Linked DNA regions of Oryzias latipes. The protein of the gene in region 1 purifies or fractionates together with the protein of each later gene. This does not show direct contact. Links are inferred from orthologs where the notes say so. Each region holds a gene or a part of one and is shown in the gene's direction. Other genes may lie near its edges.

Region 1 (3,968 bases):
AGAAAATTATTTGACCACCCCTTTCTTTTAATGTTCTTATCTTGAAAGCATGACATCATAAAAACCGAAAGAACGCTTCAAGTTTCACTTTGGGGATTTCTAAACTGTGACTGGAGGCTGTGTTTTGTTTTGTTTTTTGAGAAATATGTTTCACTGAAGATGCAAAACAACTGTCCTAATTAATAAAGTAAAGCACGTTTGTAAATAGGAAGCCCAGAATATTTGTACATTGTATTACAATTAATGAATGTCTGTCTTTTTTTGTGTGTTTGTCAAAGTTCTGCTGAAATGTTGACAAAATTGTTGTAAAAATTCCAAAAATAAAAGGTTGTAAGAAGTCATTTTAATTGTGCTTTATCTGTCCATTTCTAAACGTTTATTATACTTGATGGCGTGGTTCTCCAAGTTAACTCTTCTTACATTTGGACATAATATGCATCATGATTAACCATGTTTTAACCAGCTCAGTGGCCTTGTGGTAGAGTGTCTGCCCTATGACTGGAACGTCGTAAATTCAAATCTAGGCCGAGTCATACCACAGACTCTAAAAATTGACACTCAGCATTAAGGGGGTGAATCCAATCCAGTTCCTGTGTACGGTTGTGTCTGCTGCTCACAGTCAAATGCAGAGAACAAATGTGTGACATGTAATGGTATTAACCAGGTTTAAAAATCACTTTATTATGCCCTACAAATGAGGAGTCTGAATGCAAGAAAATAATCTAGAATAGAGGAAATTTAAAGCTAAAACAACTGCAGCTTACGTAGGCAGCTAAATAATAGACATACTTTTATTACATCTTTTAGAAAAAACAGCTGCAACTTCCAGCTTTTTCTGCCACAATCATCACAAAAATGCATGTGAGATTGCGGAGGGACTGTACATCATGCAGACTATGAGTTGGATGCTGATGTGCCGCGGGATTTTTGTCAAGGATAAAGCGTGCTTTGGCTCTAAAAAGGTTGAAAAACACTGATCTAGAGCGCTCAGACACTCTGCAGTTCACTGTTTTTTCCACTAAATGTCTGTTTTGTTGGAGAGTGTACTCACAAATCGTAACGGAAGATCCGTAGAAGAAGACGTAGTGTTGTTGTCTTCCACTCTGGCCAATAGCAGACATTTTTACTGGATCTTTATTCTTTCCACCAATGAGAGGCCTTGGCATTGGTCTGAGTGTCGCGGGCACATTTTCGGTTTCTAGCAGTTCGTGGAGCTAAATTTACGAGATCTAAATTAGCCAAAAGACTTTGCTATCCTAAAAAACGCATCCATGAAGTATTAATAACTTTAATCTGTTAGTTAAATAACCAGGAAATCATGCCGTTTTTCCTATATTCCGTTTGGATTTACAAGAAAAGTTACAGTAGCTGCTCTGTTGCTAATCTTAGCTTAAAAACTGCTGTGCGTTCCTGAAGAGCAACATTTACGTTTCTATTGTTCCTGAATAAAAGGTGAGTGTTTTAATAATATGCACCCAGTCGTGTTTTCTCAGAATTATAAGCACCGTATCTGCCATGTTTTGTGATCAGTTTTTACAAAATTTCCTTTTGTTTTCACTTTAGATTAAGTTCTGTTGAATATTCGCCTTCATTTTTTTTCGTTGACCAGAAAACTACGAGAGAGACAGACTCAGGATGTAAAAGTAAACAGGAAAAAATTTTGGTAATTAAAGTTGATGTAAATCAGATAAGGCTACTAGACAGATTTTTTTTAATGTTGAATAATCAAAAGCAAAATAGACATCAGTGCTATTTGTCGTCGAGCCATTTCATTTTTGCATTCCGAGCATTTTCGTCTTAAAAATAAGTCTAATTTGTGTCGATCAGGCAACAGAAAAGTGCCATTTCTTTGTCTGCATCTCGGTATTTTCAGGTCAGCATTGCAGCCGTGTGGACGATTATTATTGCAGTGTTTTTATCTTTTTGGATCTTTAATAATCCTGTTTCACTGTGAGACGTTTTTGTCCACATTCTCACCAGATACCGTGTTGTGTATCTTTCTCTCTCAGCATCTCAGTACATCATGACCCATGCGTTGAGATTTTCATCTGTAAAATATATAACTAGCTTTGTGGCAATACAGTCCAATCCTTTAATGAATAAAATCTAGATTTTTATTATTCATTTGACATTTAGAACTATAAATTCAACAGCTTCCACGATTCAAACCTGCATTTAGGGCCTTCTAGACTGTTCTGTTCTTTATGGTTAAAACATCTCATATTCATTTATTCATACATTGTTAGAGGTGCTGGGAAAAAGGAGGGCTAGTTTTGTGCACACAACATCCCACTTATTTATTGTGGTTCAGTTAGTTTTCATTGATAGAAGCAGGCTTGTGATTGGACGTCTTGTGTTTTGGTCACTCGTGAAAAGGGCAAAAACAGTAGAGTCCACACCACGAAGAGAAACTGACAACGTTTACCAGAAACAACGTTTTTTTATTCCTGATGAATTTTATACCTTTTTACCAACATAATCATGTGTTCATATCTGTGGTTTTCATTGGACAGACAACTGTGCTTCCATTCAGGCTCTATGGGTTTGTTTATAAACATTTAAAATAAAATAAGCCAATTAGTAATAGATTTTTTTATATAAATTGATTTTTTTGGACCCCTGATAAATTATTAGTTGCTGGTTTTTGTAACAAGGACTAAACAGTAGGAAATAAGTTGTGAAAAATGTTTTTCACCACTGACCCCCCAATATTTACTAATATATGAATAGATTTTTGAAATCAATAATCCTTCCACGTCTTGCTTCTGTACCTTTTGTCACGACCAGCGTGTTTTTCCTGTTTGCAGATTCACAGCAGAATCCGTCAGGGTTTAGATGGCGGTGGCTCCTGCCTCAATGGGAGATGAGATCATAGTTCTGGATGAAGACAACGAGGACAGCCCCCAGCCCTCTTTTTCCGCTACTACTCCCTCCTCTGATCATGGCTCCAGAAACGCCTTACCGCCCAAAGGTCAGCACTTGGTGGCCGTGCACGCCGCCATGTCCCCAAGTCACCAAGTCTCAGGGAAGAAGGAAGCTCAGGGTCTTCTAGCTGAGAATCAGAAACTGTTCTCTGAGGTGAGCTGCTTCAGGTTTTTACTGAGCCCACCCTCTCTTCTGTGGTCTTCTTCAACTTCTAAAATAAAGAATATTTTAACACCCAGCAGGTTTTTGTTTGTGCTAATATTGCTGATATCTACTGTTTTTTTCCTTAATATTTTGTGATAAAATATGTTTTTATGTGCTTCGGAATAGATTGTTAGAAACATTTAAGATGTTAAATTGTTGAAAGCTTTTACAGTTCATCTGTTTGACTTTCTCTGTGAGTCACAATTGAATCTTTTTCTGTTTTGTAAAAGTCTTATAAAGGTGTAATATGAAAGGTGTAATGATCTGCATGATTCATCTTCAGTGTTTGATTCTCTCGTGTCTTTCCTGTAGTTTGTGGAGCATTGCTCCGCTCAGACCAAGGAGTGCCCGGAGGTCCTGGAATACCTGCAGCTGAAACACTCCAAGACGTGTCCAGAGTTTCTGTCCTCTGTGGAGTTCAGGAACACTCTGAAAGGATGTCTAACTCGCGCTCAGAACAACCGCTCCAAAACCTTTGTCTTCATCAATGAACTGTGCACGGTGCTCAAACAGCACAGGGATAAAAGGAGACTGACCCTCTCCAAGGCGGCGCCCTCTACCTCAACATCAGCTTCTGTTCAGTCTACCTCCGTTCCCCCTAACAGTGAGAAGAGGAGTGACGAAGAGCAACCTTCTACTTCTGGAGTGCAGGAAGACAACAAAGAGCAAGATCAAAAAGAGGAAAAAAGAGCTAAAAGGGCCTCAAGGAAACAGGTCGGTACAGACAATAAACCTAAAAAAAAAAAGACAGTCAGTGTTAATCCTGTACTTGTTTTATTCCTGAAATCAGACGATGCCAGACTAAATATCTGGAGCACATGTCTCCCTCTCAGATCGCG
Region 2 (4,232 bases), on another chromosome or scaffold:
ATGAACAAACAGTCCCATGTTAGGTTTTTATTTAGGTTTTTTTCTGCAGTTCCTGAATTGTTTCCTTTTTGAAGGATGATGAGAGAAATTATAACTTCAGAGAAACTAACTAAAGTGATTTACACATTAATACTCACTGAAAGAAATAATCTTCTCAAAAACAAGTTAAAAAATATTGAATACAAAATGTTTTTAATTCTTGATATGAGTGAAACCAATTGGGTGATGGAACAAATGAAACTTTCTTAAGAGAAGTTGTAATGTTCTGCCCTTTTAAGAAAAAAACAGGTCTTGAAAATATAAGCACTAATATTTAGGTAAATTAATCTGGTTATTGGAAATATATCTAAAAATGTATGTTTTGCTTGCAAAAATAAAATGGTTCATTGACACAACCGTCCTACCCCCATTGTTCTAATAAACAGTCCAATTCTTTTTAGACCATATATTCCTCTTAGAGAAAGACTGGAATTAAACATTTTAAAACAAGTTTGTCTTAAAGATTAAATGTATATTTGTTAAAACAGTCAAATAGATAGTTTCAGTTTTCTTAAATCAAGCAAGTCTGTTTCTCGTAACAAGACCCCTCACTGTTCACAATTAAAAATGCCATGTGTTAAAAGTGTAAAAAAATACTATGTAAAGTAGAAAAAACGAAATAAAGTAACAAAAACATGTTAGGTTTGAAAAAAAAGTAAGATAATTAACTATATAAAGGTAAAAATAGACCAAAATAAAGTAAAAAAAAAGAAGCTTAAAGTATAGTGTAAAGTAAATTAAACCTTAAAAATACTGTGTAAAAACTCTTTTAGAACGCAATAAAATATTCAAGATTTACTGCGTCACAACAAGTCTTCACATCTTACTGAGAAGTTACTAAGGGGTTTATCCAGTCTATTATCCAGTCAGTGTAATGAAATTCTTGAAATCCTTGGTGAAATTTGGTGTTTTTGCTGTACAATCCTGTCTCACCGTCAGGGGCTGCCAAAGACAACAACGCTTGGTGAGCCAAATTATCTAACTGTATGTGATCACAACCCAGATTTTATTTTATTTTTTATTTTTTTAACAAGGCTATAAAAAAGAGGCACACCCTAGGCTGCAGTGGATACGTTCTTTTCAGTTCACTGTAAAAACCATTTTGTGTAAAACTTGGGGGGAAAAAAAGTTGTTTTTTTATTTCTTGATTTGTTTCAAACTAAATTAATTTTGTTTCTCCTAAAAGCAAAGTGCCTTCGATAAAAAATAATAATAAAAAGAATAACAATTTATTATTGCTCCTTGGGAAAAAAAACGGTTTATTTTTAAGTGGCTTCCCGACTCTTATAATAGACAGGTTGTTTCGACCAATCGCAGACCGCTAAAGTAATTCAACAAGGCCGCTACACTGGGAGGACCAATAGGAGTCGAGAGTGGGCGGGGAATAACTGAGGCGCCGCTTGCTGCCGGGGAAACGGGGTGCTGAGGTTTTACACAACTGTGCCGGTGGACTAGAAACTCCCGCCATTTCGACAAGGAATTAACCTCTTGTTTGATTCAGGTTACTTTCGCGTAACACTTGCTGATTCGGAACTCGTATGTTTGGAAAGTCTGATCGTTAAGCAACAAGGTCACTTTTAAAGAACCGAGAAGCTTCTATTTCATAACACTTTACCGTCGTACAGCTACCTCGACTGTTGCCGCGAGTTTGTTTTCGATTCGTGGAGCTGAAAGTTTATAAACTGTCAAGAGGGGTAACTCCGGGTTTATTACATATTAAGACATTGAATTTGAACCAGCAACCCGTCGTGGTGAGGGAAGTCCTATAATGGTGCGATGAGGCCGGAGCTGAGAAGTGCACTGTTATTGTTTTGTAACGAGATAGCAGTCCAGCCTGTTAGCTGATCGGCTAGCTGCTGCACAGTGAGAGCCGGGCCTGCCGGCGGTAACGTGAAAGGCTTCATCGCTCGGAATAGACCCTACGCGCTCTCGGATACATGATAAGGACACATCGGCGAACCCGACATTCGTAAATTGTTGCTGGGAAATACAGTTACACCTCCGGCAACCCTGCCACCTCTGGATTTCCTATGGCACCGCTTTTGGGCCGGAAACCGTACCCACTGGCTAAGCCTTTAGCCGAGGCTCCAGGCCCGGGAGACGAGGTCTACATCATCGAGCACACCAAGGAGGCCTTCAGGAACAAAGAGTATCCTGCTTCACCGTGATGCTGTTTTGGGACAGCCTTAGCGAGCCAGGGGTTATTTCAAAGTAATAGTTTTAATAAATCGTCTGTCCTAAAAGTGACAAATTCGTGCTCTAAGAGACGTTTATGTAGTTAAAGATTTTGACTCACGCTGACTTTTTCCCCCCTAAATGTTTCACCGCATGTAGAGTTAACACTGGGGGACGAGCTAACAGTGGTGCTAAAAGTCACGTTTTAGCTAGTAGTTAACAGTTTATTTAAACCAAAAATTATAGTTAATAGGATGCTACTTGTCGCATTTAATAGTTTTATTCACACACACATAGACTAATCTATAAACATTTGTGAAAATCATGGTTTTGCTTTTAAATTGGATAGCTTTCTGTCATCGATGCTAACGCGGCTGGCATGCTAACGGTAGGTGTCCCATTATGTCACCGCTGCTAGCCGTTGCTGTGAGCACAAACATCTTAAGCTCCTGCTTAGCCTAGTACGCATTAGTTGTAAGTATTTTAAAAAAATATATATATTTTTAGGTTTATTTTGAATCAAGTAGGCCAAGTGCAGTTGTTGTGTAACTGCTTGTTTTGCCTGTTGGGTCATGATTAGACTGTGTATTATTTGGTCCGCTAAAGCTAGCAAGGTTAATCGGACGCTCTGAGTGAACGGAGGCAGATTTTTATTGTCGAAATGTCTTAAAGCTCATTATATTTCGCTTTCGTTTGGGGGAAAATCTCGAAAGTGTTTGATGTTAACAACTAAGGTGTTCAGCGAACCTCACTGGTCTTCTCCTGATAACACCGTGAAGGGGACTTTTGAGCGGCTCCTTTAACTACACCTGACAAAATGTGGTCCCATAGATAGAACAGTTTTTTTTTTAAATGTCACCTTAATCCAATGATATAATGGGATTATGCTGGGTTCTTATGCATTATTCTGAAACTCGTTGAAGCATCTATTCATCCTAAAATCTAACTTTAGATAAAATAAAAAGATAAACTGACGTTTAGGGTGAATTCTGTCAGCAAAGATTCATTGTTTTATGCTTTTGCCTATTAATTTTTTCCTGTTTAACTGGTTAATTAATTAATTTTGTATGTTTATTTCACTCTTCATGTTTGTTTTGCTCTAAAAGTGGAACTGTAAATCCTAATTGCCTTGACCAAGTGTGCACAGAGAGTACGAAGCCCGATTGCAGAAGTATGGCGAGCGCATCTGGACATGCAAGAGCACAGGAAGCCTGCAGCTCACGCACAAGGAGGCGTGGGAGGAGGAGCAAGAAGTCACAGAACTGTTAGTATCAGAACCACCGCCGAAACCTTGGTTTATTGTTTTTCCCCCGGTCTATCAAGTTTGTAAAACAGCCTGTACTTAGATGGAGAAAGTATTTTTTTTTTTAAAAGATGGCTTTGCATTTGACAAAGAAATGTCAAGTCATATTTTTACTCACTCTGGGAATTATCTCTGATAAAAGCATGTCAAAGAAGAGACTTTCCCTGAAAGATCTGGCTTTGTGGCAGTTCAAAAGCCTGCTACACCTCCCTTGACAGATGAGTGAGTCATCACTCGTTTCTGCAATAGTTTGATGGTAGTTCCTGTATCCTGGTATTGAGAAACCGAGGTCTAACTTGTAGCAACCTTTGACTTTATTCCTCCGCTTGGATGTCACTGCAAGCGATGCGCATTCACTTAAAGTAAAAGGTCGTGTCATTTGTTTTTTTGAGTACCGGTAATTTATTTTGTCTGTAATTAGTTAATAAAAATTATCTAATTTTGTTCTCAGATAATTGCTGCCAAAAAGCCTCAGTTTGAGGTGAATAAAAAATGGCTTTCTGAAATCTTTTATGATAACAGACTTCAAACCTTTGCTTTTATGTCACCAGGATTGTTTTTTTTAACTCAAACAATAGAGAAAAAACCAAAACATTCGGTCCAGACTGCTCTAATTTAACACATCAATAAACAGTAGGAACACTTTTCTGAACAATCCCAAAAATCTTCACCACACAACGTCTAATTAATACCACAAGACGCATGTAGACGTTGC
Region 3 (4,141 bases), on another chromosome or scaffold:
GCCTTGGGTTTATATTTTTATAACCTTAATCCGTTTAATTTCATAAATCTCAAAATTAAATTGAACAATATGTTTATTTGATCAGTTTATTTCATAAAACACCTAGTTGTTTCACACAAAAGATGCATTAAAAAACAACGAAAAAAAATGTTTTTTAAGAGTATTTTAATTCAATTTATGCTAATCTTTTCTAAAATAATTAGACTGTATATTTTATATGGGCACATATAGGTGATATATGTGATTTATGTGATTTATTACGATCCGAACTCTTCATCCTTTACTTCATTAGTTTATTTAATGGAAGCTCAACAAACCCTTATGTCCTAAATGTTTCAGAGACATTAAAGTTCTTGTCTTTGCCAGGTTCCCATCTCCTTTGTGGACCGCGTCTACGGGGAATCCAAACTGGGAGGCAACGAGATCGTGTCTTTTGCAAAAGGACTGCTCATGCTTTTCGCCACAACATGATCATCTTGAGCTTTTGTAGTGGTCTCTCGGTCTTCAGGTCTGTGCGCAGAAATGTACCTGGATTATCAAAAAGTGGCACGGCAGCTGATGCGAAAAAAAGACGTGTCCCGGTTGGAAGCCTTTTCACGCACAGAGATTCTCCCATGTTGTTTCACATTCCCATCACTTTTTGCAAAAAAAACGGTTTAATCATTCCTAAATCAGACAATTCACAGAATGAAGGCGTTAGGCTGGTTACAGTTTAAAAATGTTTTTGTTTGTTAAAAATGATCAAGTCTTGCTGGCTCCTTTGTTCACTTATTATTATTATTATATATTTTTTAGTTTAGTTCATTAAATCTGAAGCAGGACTGTATAGACAACACAAATATCAAGGACACTTTATTGTAAAATAGGTGTTTAACAGTTTGAGTTCAGGTGTGATTAGCAGCAATGTAAAAGGAAAAAACAATTGCTCAATCTGTCTGGTCAAAATAAAGATGTTCTGGGAATATATTTGGATGTATTTTTTAACACCCTTTTTATTAGGAGCAACCATAGATTGTAAAAAAAAAAAAAAAAGACTGTTTTCACAGTCTGTATGGGAGTGAGCCTTTATCTCTGCTGCATTTCTTAGCGCCACCTAGTGTTCCGGCTGGGAACTTAAGTGCTGTACTCAAGAGAGTGGAGGAAAGAGGGTACACCAGATGTAAGCACAGCACGCATGCGCCGACTTAACCAAGCTAGTAGGACGCCCGCTGTCGGTTAGCTTGTGTAACTGCTTTTTAGGGTTGTTTATCCTCCACATGGCCTCTCTCAAAGCCTATAAAGCTTTTAGGCCTCAAAAGTATGTAATTGTTAAGGAAAATGTAATAAATAACGGCTTAATTGGCCGCTGATTGATGACAAACCAATCAGGGGCTTTCATTAGACGGCACGACCCGGGATCTCACAATAAGATGGTTTATGCTAATGATGCCGACGTCACTTCCGCCCCTTTATTTGCGCCATTTTGGATAGGGCAGTTTCCAGGCTGGATGTGTATTGTCTGTCAGGAGAGAATGGGCAAAGTGGATTCCGCTTCCAGGAAATTATAGGCAGAGTTTAGAGCATTTATTCACAGGAGCGGGCGAACCCGGTCGTTGCGCCCGCAGCGCTCCGGGGAAACGAGCCTCGGAATTATCTGATGAAGCTCGCGCGCCCACCGTTCCTGTTTGCCGACCACAGGGAAGAAAACAGCCCTCGTTGGAGAGGGACAGTCGGGTTTGGGGGGTAGAGCGGCAGCGGGGGCTTGCTATTCACCTCACGAACGAAGCACCTGAGCGGGCGAGAGCGGAGCAAGTGTCCCCACATCGCGGTGGTCGGGCGTAGTTCGGTCAGCCGGGCGCTGCGGACGCGAAAGCAGGTAAACTTGGAGGTCCTCCCGCGGGGGTGAACCCCGGGTGTTCGCCGTTAACCGTGGCTACCTGCTGGGTGGCTGCTAAGGTAACTCGTATACGAGGCGGGTGTTTATATGAACAGGGCGGGTCTCTGTAAACTCCAATATCTTTCAACTTCTTTATAAGGAAGTAAAATAAGAGTTTGTGGTTGATTCTGAGGCGACAGTAAGCCTATTCCGAGTCCAGCCCGTTGGTGCTTGTTTGTTAGCTTAGCGGGCTAACAGAGCGCGCGTGCGCCCTACTCTTTGTCGTTCTGGATCCTGCCAGATGTTGGACATCCCACAGATGTGTTACGGGGCTGATGCCGCGCACTCTGAGTGGAACTCAAGGATCTCTTCAGGTTTATTGGTATGGGCTCCTAAACGGCTCCTCAGAGGTGGTGACAGCTCAGCCTTCCCCCAATCCAGGGGGAAGGAGGGCTGCTGTCATTTTTTTCTGCGGGACGTAGTTCATAAGTTTGAAGAAAGTCCAACATGCAGAGGCTTCAGGATGCAGTAGCATTCAATTAATGAAACCTTTGTGGAGTTATGAGCAACTGCAAGAGTCAACACCCTCCTTATATTTAGCATTCTGTAGAATATTAATATTTCCGGACTGAGTTTGAGGTGAAAGTCCGTCCATCATAATTGAAGATTGGCATCCAGCCTCCTCAGAATCAAGGAATGAGAAACTTTTGCAGCTGTTGCAGTGGATGGAGACCCCCACCCCACCCCAGAAGCTGCGTGCACACCTGGATGGTGCTCCAGCATGTGCTCCCAGAGAGAACATGGCTGTGTCCTGCTGCTGCAGGAGATACAAAGGCCTCTTCATGTTGGAGGAGAACCCGTTTTCTGCCAGCAGAGTGGCCTCCTCTAGCATTTGCTCCCTCCCTCCTTCCTTCTCTCCTCCCTATCCTTTTTTCCCTCTCCCTTCTCCTCATCCTTTGCCCCCTCTTGCTCTCACCCTCTTCCCCCACCCCCTCTCCCCTGTTTTTCCTTACCCAAACCAGCCTCACTTCCTCTGCTCACTCCCCCCTTCCATCTCTCCCTCACACTTCCTTCACACTAGCTGCTCACCCCCCCTCTCCTTCTCTCACCCCTCTAACCCCCCCTCCTCCATTCCCTGCTTCTCACTCCTCCTCTTCCTCCCTTCCAACATCACTCCCTCCTCTCCTCTTCTCTCATCCCCTCCCCCTCCACTGCAGAGACCTTTTTGTAGGGGGCTGCTGCTTCCTCAATAGGAGGCGCCGTTCTCCATTGGTGTTATGAGGTGGGGGGGGGGGGGGGGCAGGCGGAGTGAAGGGAGGCTTACATAATGTCACTCCTCTCCAGCGCCATCTACAAGAAGGGGAGGGAAGCAGGAAAAAGGCCGAAGTGGGAAGTGGACTGAAGTCTGCCTCTCAGTTTTTACAGGTTATGGGGGGGGCGAGGGAGGCGATGGCAGCACCCAGAGTCCTTTGGGTGGAGGAGTGAACCGCCTCAGGTGCTCCCTGGACATGTTTGGCATCCAGCAGTTGTTTTTCCACTCTCTGTGACCTTTGACCTTCCCGCAAAGCGCCAATCACGTTTAATTAGGTGAACTGTTTTAGCTGTAGGTCTTTTCCAATCTGACCATTTGTTTTCAGCCACAGAACTTTCTGTTCCGGTTCATGTTGACATCCATATTTCAGTGGGTTTTCAAACAAATGCCCACGATTATCATGAGTATTCTGCCCTCTAAACACGCTTCGGTAAACAAAGAGGTTATTGACTTCAAAGACCCACTCCAATGAAAATCGTGTTTTTGGTGTTCTGAACAGGTTCCTTTGGTGTTTAATGTCAGTATGGAGGACATTTATTATGAAAATTGAGCTTAAAATTACATTTCTGAGAAAAAAAAAGGCTGTTGGAAAAAGTTGGTAGCTGTGACGTAGAAGCTGCTACGGCAAGCTACAAGCTTCCTGCTCGATTTTGATGAGTCAACATGTAGACTACTAGATCCATGATTTGGCACCTGTCTCAAACTTTGATCAAATTGATCACCATTTTTAATGCACTGGTATTGTTAGGTTGGGGTTGTGAGGGGCTGTAAGCTAGCGGAAGAGAACGTAAACAAAGGGATGATCTGAAAGGGATAATCATGATTAAAAGACCACTGGGAACTCTTTGAAAATGGATCAAAAGATAATTGGAGTGGGAATTTATATGTTTAGGTTTCTACCGGTTACTCTGAATCATTGATGAGGACTCCTGAGAAACCTTAACGTATTCTGATTTAAATTGAAAATTTCTGAT

The links. Proteins that work in one complex are often made in the same cells at the same time.
Region 2: the proteins of death domain-associated protein 6 (region 1) and baz1b purify together in Homo sapiens (co-immunoprecipitation; 3 studies listed by BioGRID and IntAct, with this or other methods). This does not show direct contact. The link is inferred for Oryzias latipes from reciprocal best matches to the Homo sapiens genes DAXX and BAZ1B.
Region 3: the proteins of death domain-associated protein 6 (region 1) and activity-dependent neuroprotector homeobox protein purify together in Homo sapiens (affinity purification with mass spectrometry; 4 studies listed by BioGRID and IntAct, with this or other methods). This does not show direct contact. The link is inferred for Oryzias latipes from reciprocal best matches to the Homo sapiens genes DAXX and ADNP.

The regions. Positions count from the first base shown.
Region 1 is NC_019869.2:16,001,390-16,005,357, forward strand, and holds the start of death domain-associated protein 6, read left to right. Parts: upstream 1-1,150; 5' UTR 1,151-1,452; intron 1,453-2,807; 5' UTR 2,808-2,835; coding exon 2,836-3,078; intron 3,079-3,441; coding exon 3,442-3,843; intron 3,844-3,962; coding exon 3,963-3,968. UniProt on the Homo sapiens protein: Transcription corepressor known to repress transcriptional potential of several sumoylated transcription factors. Down-regulates basal and activated transcription.
Region 2 is NC_019871.2:22,455,156-22,459,387, forward strand, and holds the start of baz1b (tyrosine-protein kinase BAZ1B), read left to right. Parts: upstream 1-1,427; 5' UTR 1,428-2,069; coding exon 2,070-2,188; intron 2,189-3,361; coding exon 3,362-3,478; intron 3,479-4,232. UniProt on the Homo sapiens protein: Atypical tyrosine-protein kinase that plays a central role in chromatin remodeling and acts as a transcription regulator. Involved in DNA damage response by phosphorylating 'Tyr-142' of histone H2AX (H2AXY142ph).
Region 3 is NC_019865.2:4,532,918-4,537,058, reverse strand, and holds the start of activity-dependent neuroprotector homeobox protein, read left to right. Parts: upstream 1-1,336; 5' UTR 1,337-1,855; intron 1,856-4,141. Other genes in the region: dpm1 (dolichol-phosphate mannosyltransferase subunit 1), read left to right, coding at 367-471.